3 linked regions of the Danio rerio genome follow. The protein of the gene in region 1 interacts with the protein of each later gene in a pairwise test. Links are inferred from orthologs where the notes say so. Each region holds a gene or a part of one and is shown on either strand. Other genes may lie near its edges. The genes, in order: itsn1, kif5aa and cyth1b.

Region 1 (2,507 bases):
TAGGAAACTAGTTGTCTCAAAATACAACATCTGAACTTCTGAACGATGCCGTTAGGTGTGGTAACCATTGTATAAGCTGAATCGATTGAGTTATTAGAATATAATGCACACTTGAGATTTTAACAGCTTCTCTGCATCACCATCTCAGGTGTACAATCGTTTTCTCCTTATATAAGCACTCAGATACTAGATCACCTGATGTGTGTCCGGTGTCTGTGCAGGTAAGAGTAACCCGTACTGTGAGGTGACGATGGGCTCTCAGTGTCACGTCACCAAGACCCTTCAGGACACTCTGAACCCCAAGTGGAACTCAAACTGCCAGTTCTTCATCAAAGACCTGGAGCAGGACGTGCTGTGTGTCACTGTGTTTGAGAGGGATCAGTTCTCCCCGGACGGTCAGTAAACTCCAACATAAATCTAAATGAATTAAATAAACTAACAAATAAAAAATGTGCAATTTATTTAAAAAGGAAAAAAAAAAGTAGTGTTTCGCAATATTGCACTGTTTACTGTATTTCTAGATTTTAAATAAATGCAGCTTTAAACAACAACAAAAAATTGAAAATTATACTTGTATTTTTCATTCTCAATACCATTTCTCGTTATTTTCCCCTTCTTGTTAGATTTCTTGGGCAGGACGGAGATTCGGCTGGCCGACATCAAGAAGGACCAGGGCTCGAAGGGTCCCATCACCAAGCGTCTGCTTTTACACGAAGTCCCGACGGGAGAGATTGTGGTGCGACTGGACCTGCAGCTCTTCGATGAACCCTGAGCGCATTATTTAACCTGACCTTTTCGACCCCACAGATACCACATCCCTCATTCCTCCGTGGTGAAGCCCACCAGCCTAATGTGACAATCCCCCAGCGTCATAAATCCCAGTGCGTGAATGTGTGTGTATCCGCACAAGCGTCTGTGAGTCCGCTAAATGCTGTAACAGTCTTACCGAGTGATCCTGACTGGATTTTTTATTGTCCATTTTAAGACAAGTCAAGTGTGTGTGCGCAAATGAAAACAGGACGTGCTGTAGAGCCGTGTGTGATGGATGCTGTAAGTCTTAAAGAGTCGTTTTAATGAGCTCTAATGAACAGTAGTGCCATTTGACACAATATTCTTAAAAGCTCTTGATTTTAGAATATACAGAATTATTCTAGAACAGGGGTGTCCAAGCTCTGTCCTGTTAGTTTAGCTTCCTTTAACACACCTGCCTAGAAGTTTCTAGTACACCTAGAAAGAGCTTGATTAGCTGGCTCAGGTGTGTTTAATTGGGGTTGAAACTAAAATATGCAGGACACCGGCCCTCCAGGACCGAGTTTGGACACCCCTGTTCTTGAATAACGACACGTTCCAAATCATGTGCCATTTCGGTGAATGGGTGAATCTCATGAAAATCTATTACTGTCAATCCAATCGTATACCTGTGAGATTATTATTTAATTATTTATGCTTCATGGTAGTCTGCTCGCTTGTAATTTATATTGATTCATATTTTTTAAAGATGTAATTTATTAAACCTACAGTAATATGAGATGATTATCCTGAAAGCAGGCCTCGTTTTTATTTAATGCAAATATTAAACAGGTTTTCGTAAGATTCACCTTTATTATCGCCGTTCCATCATTTTATTCCATATCTTCAGTTCCTAACACTAAAAACCCAGGTTTTGCTGGCAAACCTCTGTTGTGTTGATCAATATTCATCTATTTTTACTGAAAGACACCGGTGATGGGATGTAGATGTTTTCGAGGGCCCATTAAATGTGAGCAAGTCTCAAGAAATGGTCGCAAACGCTCCATGAAAAGACAGTTTTGATATATATATATATATATATATATATATATATATATATATATATATATATATATATATATATATATATACACGCAAAAGTGAACGAGGAAAGGAACAATGCCCTGTTTGTTTATGTCTTTGCTACTTTTATTTATTGTAGAAATTGAGACCCATCTCAGAGGCCGACAGAAATACCACATCAGGAGCGTTTACCTGTAGGATGTCAAATATACAGCGGGGGAAATAAGTATTGAACGTCACCAATTTTTGGTGGGAGTATTGAACACATGAAGAAGGGAAGGTGTAGAATAGCAGTGAAAGCCCAGACAGCAGCTGAAATCTCACTGTAGTTCTTCAGAAACCTACTGCTCTTTGTCATTGTAAATTAATATTCGCTGCTTCAGTCCAACATCTCAAATCAAATCAGGCCTTTATTTGTCACATACACTTTTGTATAGTGAATTTGAACCCCCATAGTTCACAATTGTACACAAACATCACAATTTTCAGAGGAAAACGGGTCACAGGAGGTAGCATTTAGAAAAACGGAAGTAAGATAAATTTCAGGAGAGGGACTCCCTCTCACCCTGCTCTTGAATTAGGGCAATGTGAGACCAGGGAGAAAAAAAAGCCCAGTAATCCGCACATAAACACACAGTTAAGACATAACATTGCCACAGGGGATGGGAACAGGGGGTGTGGATATAGTCCGATGA
Region 2 (3,660 bases), on another chromosome or scaffold:
AACACAATACAACACACAATACATTTACTTAATATATAAATGGATCAAATGCAACCCTGAACCCCAGAATGGGTTAATTTACTGTGTTTTCAGTCTTACTCTGCTTACCATGATAATAAGCGTTAAAGATTTACTCATCCATTAACATGATTTCTGCAGACCACAACTCCCATGATTCCACACTCAGTCGCAGTCATTAAAATGAATGCACGCCCTCTAGTGGAGACAATTACACACTGTGCCTTCATTTGAATTGTTCATCATATATGCATGTACAAAATATTCATCATTTACCAAAATGACATAAAAAGACAGCAGGAAAATGTATTAAATGGATGTGTTCACTCATTTTCTATTCCGGCTTAGTCCATTTATTATTCTGGGGTCGCCACAGCGAATGAACCGCCAACTCATACAGCTTATGTTTTATGCAGTGGATGCCCTTCCAGCTGCAACCCATTACTGGGAAACATCCATACACACTCATTCACACTCATACACTGCGGACAATCTAGCCTACCCAATTCACCTGTACCGCATGTGTTTGGACTGTGGGGGAAACCGGAGCAAACCTACGCAAAGGCAGGGAGAACATGCAAACTCCACACAGAAACACCAACTGACCCAGCCGAGACTCAAACCAGAGACCTTCTTGCTGTGAGGCGACAGCACTCCCTATTGTGCCACTGCGTCACCCCTAAATAGATGAGTGTGTCAGTTAAATGTCTCTGGTTTGACGATAGTGAATGATTGGCTTTCTCCAGTCTGTATTAAACATGTTAGAACGGCTTCCACACTTTAATCTTCAACTTCTATCTTAAAACTTTAATTTGGCTTTTAATGTGCATCTACTACTGCGGTTTTACTTCTGTTCACAGATTGTGATGTCTGTGTTTCACTTCTTAATTTGCAGTTTTGGTCCGTGTTTAACCCTACTCTAGAATAAACTCAATTTCTTTGGATTACACTAATATAAAACTGCACTTAAAGAAATGTCAGAGTTTCAGAAATCTCACTGACTGTGATGTGCTATCAGGGAAACCTTCACGACCCGCAGCAGATGGGCATCATTCCCCGCATCGCCGAGGACATCTTCAACCACATCTTCTCCATGGATGAAAACCTGGAGTTCCACATCAAGGTACACAGAGATCAGTCGTCCCATCATCCCCGAAACCCAGGACAATAAGCTGCACCAGCCTGAAACTGCAGTTTCAAAGGGACAGTTCAACCAAAAATACACCTTCTGTCATCATTTCTCCATCCTCCACTTGTTCTGAACCAAGTGTTTTTCTTCTGTTGAACACAAAGGAATATACACTGGGAAACAACTGTGTTTTTGTTCCTGCTATGAAAATCATTTTGTCCAGCATCCTTCAGGATATCTTGTCTTGTGTTCAACAGAAGAATAAAACTGTGCTGTTAAAGTTTATTAGCAGTTAAGTGTGAGAAGATTTAGATTTTTGGTTGTAAAATCCCTTTAAGAGTCAAATCAGGTTAATGCTTTATCATTTAGTTCAGTAATAGAGCTTTCTTACATTGGTGATAAATTAAAGCTGGTCTGATGTTAGCTGTGTGTGGTTTCCCTCAGGTCTCCTACTTCGAGATCTACATGGAGAAAATCCGCGATCTTCTGGACGGTTTGTAGAGCACAAAGACAGAACAGCGTGTTAAACTCACTAATGTGATCTTTCTGTTCCTCACTGCCTTTCTTCTCCTCTTCAGTCACAAAGACCAACCTGTCTGTGCATGAGGACAAGAACCGCGTCCCGTACGTGAAGGTGAGCGTGACACCTGCAGCTTCATTACTGTGGGGACTGACTGAAGAGTTGTGTGTCAGCTTCAGGGATTTCATAGTGATGTTAATAGTCAGGAATAGATGCTTCTGTTTGGTCACCATCACTAAAACACTGGAGTTTAGACTGCTTGAATGGCATTCAGGTTCACTGTTTTGCATTAGCTGGGGTTAAAAGAGAAAGAGTCTTCACATGTGCAAGACACGTCTTCTGCTCTGCTATGACAGTGATGATGGAAACTGAAGACATTGTAGTTTCTTTAACCAGCTCAATCAGGATCAGCTGTGTGTGTGTGTGTTAATGCAGTTGTGTTGTGCTCCAGGGCTGCACCGAACGCTTCGTCTCCAGTCCTGAGGAGGTGATGGACGTCATCGATGAGGGAAAGTCCAATCGGCATGTCGCCGTCACCAGTAAGTCATTCAGCCATCAGTAATCAACATAATGGTATTCAGCTCTGTCTGAAAACCTCAAAACAAGACCGATATAAAGGCCCTGTCCACATAAACGCAAGGTATTTTCAAAACCACCATTGTTTTCGATGTGTTTGGCTGTTTGTCCACATGAAAATGCAGTATCAGATGACTGAAAACTAAACTTAATGAAAACAATTCAGTTCAGTTCAATGTTATGTAGATCACACTTAAAAACAACAGAATTGACCAAAGTGCAAACAATCAAGGGTTAAAGCAAAGCAGGAAACTTACTGTCAAAGCTAAACAATACAATTAAATCTAAATAAAATGCTGTGCTCACAGCCAATGACATCAATGTGTGCTGTGTGGGTCTTCCTGATTGGCCAACACAACAGGGTTTACACCAAATGCAAATGAGGCGAGATTTACGCACGTTCACGTTGTTTGCACGGTGGGACGGTAATCCGCTTCTGTTGTCACGTTCATTAACTTGTTTGCAATTTATTTGTGAAAATACGTTTTAATTCCACGTTTGGTGGAAAACGTTTATCGCCCCCTGCTGGTTCGACATGCCCTTAACATGCGTCACATACGTTTTCATGTGGACTAAGATATATTTTAAAATGCAAGTGAAGAAAACTCTGTTATTAAAATATTAAAATCTTTATTAAATAAAAATGACTGTTACGCCCCAAAACTCAAAACTGGCTCGAATAATAACAACATCAAGGTTTGAGCTGAACATATGAAAAGACACAGACGCTAATGTTAATAAATTGACGTCCTGTTAATAATGCTTTAATTTCCAGAAATTAAATATTCCAAAAGAGATGACAAAACATTAACAAAAATCATGTAGACAGGTATGGTAGCTAAGAAAGCTGTTTTAAATGGACAGATCTTACCTACAACTCCCGTTAAAGGAATAAAAAACAGGTGAGTCATCCGGGCCGCTGCTTACCTTCGCTAAACTAAATAAATACCAAAATGTGCCTATGAAAAATACTCCACTACCATACGAAAACAAACAAAGCATCAAAATAAACAAACTAGAAAACACATAGAGAAAACTAAAAGGTTAACAAGAACAAAACTCTAAAGAGTGCGGCATGTAGATGGATCCTGGCCGGCCGCCTGAGCGCAAGCCACCACCAAGCTTAGAGAGACTGAGCCGCCACTGCTGTCAGCCTTATATACTGGGAATCCCCAGTGACATCACGGGCCTCATCCAATCCTGGACAAGCCGTGTAGAAAACTCCACCTACAACTCAAGCGCAGCAAGCAGACACCTGCAACAAATAAATAAATGAATTAAATAAAACACAGACCCGCGTAACAATGAGCCAAAATGAACTTTTGATCAACTCCACAACCAGCCAGTGTTCAGAATTGTCATTACATCAGAGCCCAGTTCAGCTTGTGCTCATCCTGTATTATTGGAGTGATGGTAG
Region 3 (4,099 bases), on another chromosome or scaffold:
TCAGGTGATATAAGGGTAAGGAAATGACACAAATTTATTTTTTGGTCAAACAAATCCTGTAAAAATCCACCAGGTCACACATTTGCAATGTTTTGTTTAGTTGAATATCACCATATTGTGTAAATAAACATATATGTACAGTATACCATTTCAGTTTCCTAAAAAAAGAAGTCCTTTTTCCTTACGTCAACTTCTTAACTTTTCTGAAGTGAATATAAACATGGCAGCTTTTTTGTTACAATTCATTAATCAATGCCAAATCCAGAGAACTGATAACAACTTTGAAGTAGAATAAAAAAGAAGCATTATTTTGAAAATGTTGTCATCATTTACTTTCAGACTTGCTGGAGTTTTTTAATATGAATATTATCAGGCCTTGACATTAGCACCTGCCAAATGCGGGTAGATTTCTGCTGTGGCGAGTTAGACAGACAGTCCCACTAGCCACTTTGGCTATTTGAAGATTCATTCGCCACAGCGGAATGAACCGCCAACTTATCCAGCACTTGTTTCATGCAGCGGATGCCCTTCCAGCCGCAACCCATTTCTAGGAAACATCCATACACACTCATACACTACCTGTACTGCATGTCGGACTGTGGGGGAAACCGGAGCACCCGGAGGAAACCCACGCGAACACAGGGAGAACATGCAAACTCCACACACGAACGCCAACGACCCAGCCGAGGTTTGAACCAGCGACCTTCTTGCATTGAGGCGACAGCACTACCTACTGCGCCACTGTTTATTTTTTTATTGTAGTTTTCTTAAAAGCAGGATTCGACAATAATGATGGCCCAATATTCAAGCAAATGTGATCTTAGAATCGAGAAGCAACACAACTGACAAAAATAGCTGTGTTCGTGCAAGCAAAAGAAAGCAAGTGAATACCGAATGAGAGAATGATCACGGTCACGCAGAGGTGATGTGATGCGAGTGACTGTAAAAAAACGCACGCACTCCTGTTTACTTGCACGAAGCAACCATGCCTAGAGAAAACGCAACTGGTGCGAACGGTTCTCTTTGAAATAGACTGGACAAAAAGCAATCGTGCACCCACAGTCCTGCTGCTTTCAAGAGCTAGAGATTTATATGTCTATATCTTTTTTTAAGCAGCAGCCGTCACTGCTTTCATTTTAATTATTCTTTTAACAGATTAACAGGGCTAACGTTAACCGTGTGCGCGTGATCATCCTTTCATTATCCCTCACAGTATGTTTTTACCTGCTTTCTTTTTGCTTACGGTTATTTTTGTTAAAAGGTTTAAATTGTCTTCTTTTTTTTAAAATAACATTGTTTTAATATGAGATTAACTCCCTGTTTTTGTGTAGTTAACTGGTGATCTGGGACCATTAGCCATGACAGATTACTGTGCATTTTTTAGATATACATGACAATAGTTCTTTTTTAAATGTCTTTTTTTAAAGAAATGTTTAGTTGAATTAAAAGCGCATGTTTACAGCTAGGCGAGGCAGTGGCGCAGTAGGTAGTGCTGGGTCGCTGGTTCGAACCTCGGCTCAGTTGACGTTTCTTTGTGAAGTTTGCATGTTCTCCCTGCCTTCGCGAGGGTTTCCTCCGGGTGCTCCGGTTTCCCCCACAGTCCAAAGACATGCGGTACAGGTGAATTGGGTAGGCTAAATTGTCTGTATTGTATGATTGTGTATGTGAATGTGTGTGTGGATGTTTCCCAGGGATGAGTTGCAGCTGGAAGGGCATCCACTGCGTAAAAACTTGCTAGATAAGTTGGCAATTCATTCCGCTGTGGCGACCCCGAATTAATAAAGGGACTAAGCCGACAAGAAAATGAATGAATGAATGTATACAGCTATATTTAGCTTGTTTTGACACATTTAAAATTTGTGGCCAAATAATACATTTTTGGTGTGATCAGAGATAGCTAAATTTGATAAATACTTAATTTCGAGCTCTGAAAAGTCATGTGAAATAAAAACTAATCGCAATGTGACACGGCTCATTAGCCCATGCATACTGAGCAAGCTCATACACAACACACACAGTAATTTTATCATGTCAAAGTCTAATTTATGCATATAAAATATATTTTCCCAATAACAAAAGTATGGCTAGTGAAAATGGCGAGTGGCTAGTAATGTTGGGAAATCTACTAGCCACAGTGGCTGGTGATCAAAAAGGCCAATGTTAAGCCCTGAATAATATGAATATAGCTGGAAAACTAAAACAATTGGCTTACATGGTATTTGGTTTTCCTACTATGGAAGTCAATATTTACAAGTTTTTCAGCTTTCTTCAAAATATATTATTTTCTGTTCAACAGAAGAAAGAAACTCAGGTTTTGAACCACTTGAGGGTGCCTAAATAGTGGGTAGATTTCATTTTGGGGTGAACTATCCCTTTAAACTATTTGGGTGAAAGAAACTTTGCTAACTTCATAAGCTAACCTTGTAAATCAAAGCACAAACATGTGAAAGTGAGCTCATCTCTCAACAAATCCCAGATTTCTAATACACACATTACTCCCAAAACACATGCACGTCAAACACCAAACCCACCTGCTGGAGGAGCCGGGTGAACCGTAGGACACAGAAACGCCTGAAAGCTGGACGCGCAGAGTTCACTCACCGTCCCCATCGCTAAACAATCCCTGATTCACTTTAAAGCCTACAGTTCGAATGTGAGAAGTAAGTCCCTTTAAGCACCAAGAGAGAAAAGACCAGCTACTTCCTCTTCAGTCCGAAAGCAGAACTTGTTCAACTGTTTATACTCTCGCCTCAATCATTCATTTCAATAGTATCCAACAGTAAATCCAGAGCAAAAGAGCTCGGATGCACAGCACTGCTCTCTTCACCGATGAGCGCCGCTCTCACAATCTCTCTGACTTCACTCCTTGTATTCTCTCTCCTCCCTCCCTCTCTCTCCTCTCTCACTCTCTTTCTCTCTACGTTCGGTTTAATACAAACTTGCATTATTGGCAGGACAAATGTTACATATGTATTGCCAAAGCATTTGTGTTTACAATAAATAGAACATATGAACACAAATGACATAGTAGTAGTGATATAAATATCTACAATATGTGTATATATATATAACAGTAGTATATTTAGCAATCAAGATTTTGGGACAAAACAATAATTCATTCTTTAATTTTCCTTCGGCTTAGTCCCTTTATTCATTAGGGATTGACACAGTGGAAAGAATCACCAACTTACCCAGCATGTTTTACACAGCGCATGCACTTGCAGCTGCAACCTGGGAAACATCCATACACAGTAATTCAAACAGACAATTTAGTTTATTCAATTCACCTATAGCACATGTCTTTGGACTGTGGGGGAAACAAGGGCATCATAGAAGCAATTGAAAAAATATAGCCTATCATTTGCGCGATGTGTTAATACCACAGTACTCTTTTTCATTTTACCCTTTAGCAGTCACAAGACTGAAACCTCGAGTTTAAGGCAGCACTCATGTCTCATCACAAAGGGGCAACCAAAACTGACACATAGGCCCAATTTTAATTCTACCCCTTAGCCCTTACCACTTTTTTTGCATGTTAACGTGAAGGGGTTGGGGTTTCCCAGTTCTCTTTAGCTTGAAGGCATAGGGCTAAGGGGAAGGGGTAGATACCTCACGAAAGGGAGATTTTACAGGACCACACTCGAAATCAAGGGGAAAATTTTTTTCCCAGAATACACCAGCAACATGGCTGCACATTTTTTGTCATTGCTACAAATTTTTACGACAAACAAGCACATGTTTTAATACATTCATAACCGTGTTCATGTTTTACCGTCATGCTTTAAAAAAAAAATATATATATATATATATATATATATAAATAAAATAAAAAAACGGCAAATTTCGCTATCTTTAATCCATAATAATAACTCCAATATTAACTCCTGTACAGCAGTCCCACAACATTCTGTCACTCGATGACACTCAAATACCCTGTCAGAAAAGTCTAGTGGATGGGAATGAGCTTTTCACAGTGTCTGCTATAATGATAATGTTGTTTTCATCTGTTAAGACGAATATGGCCACTGTAATGCGCAATACAGTTGCGATCTTATTGCCACATTATAGCGTTATAATAACATATCATTGCCTTCAGTGG

The links.
Region 2: the proteins of itsn1 (region 1) and kif5aa interact in a two-hybrid assay, tested with the Homo sapiens proteins (2 studies listed by BioGRID and IntAct). The link is inferred for Danio rerio from reciprocal best matches to the Homo sapiens genes ITSN1 and KIF5A.
Region 3: the proteins of itsn1 (region 1) and cyth1b interact in a two-hybrid assay, tested with the Homo sapiens proteins (2 studies listed by BioGRID and IntAct). The link is inferred for Danio rerio from reciprocal best matches to the Homo sapiens genes ITSN1 and CYTH1.

The regions. Positions count from the first base shown.
Region 1 is NC_133176.1:50,305,214-50,307,720, reverse strand, and holds the end of itsn1 (intersectin-1), read left to right. Parts: intron 1-221; coding exon 222-395; intron 396-623; coding exon 624-772; 3' UTR 773-1,890; downstream 1,891-2,507. UniProt on the Homo sapiens protein: Adapter protein that provides a link between the endocytic membrane traffic and the actin assembly machinery. Acts as a guanine nucleotide exchange factor (GEF) for CDC42, and thereby stimulates actin nucleation mediated by WASL and the ARP2/3 complex.
Region 2 is NC_133184.1:242,820-246,479, reverse strand, and holds part of kif5aa (kinesin family member 5Aa), read left to right. Parts: intron 1-1,036; coding exon 1,037-1,141; intron 1,142-1,591; coding exon 1,592-1,640; intron 1,641-1,725; coding exon 1,726-1,781; intron 1,782-2,118; coding exon 2,119-2,206; intron 2,207-3,660. UniProt on the Homo sapiens protein: Microtubule-dependent motor required for slow axonal transport of neurofilament proteins (NFH, NFM and NFL). Can induce formation of neurite-like membrane protrusions in non-neuronal cells in a ZFYVE27-dependent manner.
Region 3 is NC_133187.1:35,985,013-35,989,111, reverse strand, and holds the start of cyth1b (cytohesin-1b), read right to left. Parts: upstream 2,845-4,099; 5' UTR 2,611-2,844; coding exon 2,532-2,610; intron 1-2,531. UniProt on the Homo sapiens protein: Promotes guanine-nucleotide exchange on ARF1, ARF5 and ARF6. Promotes the activation of ARF factors through replacement of GDP with GTP.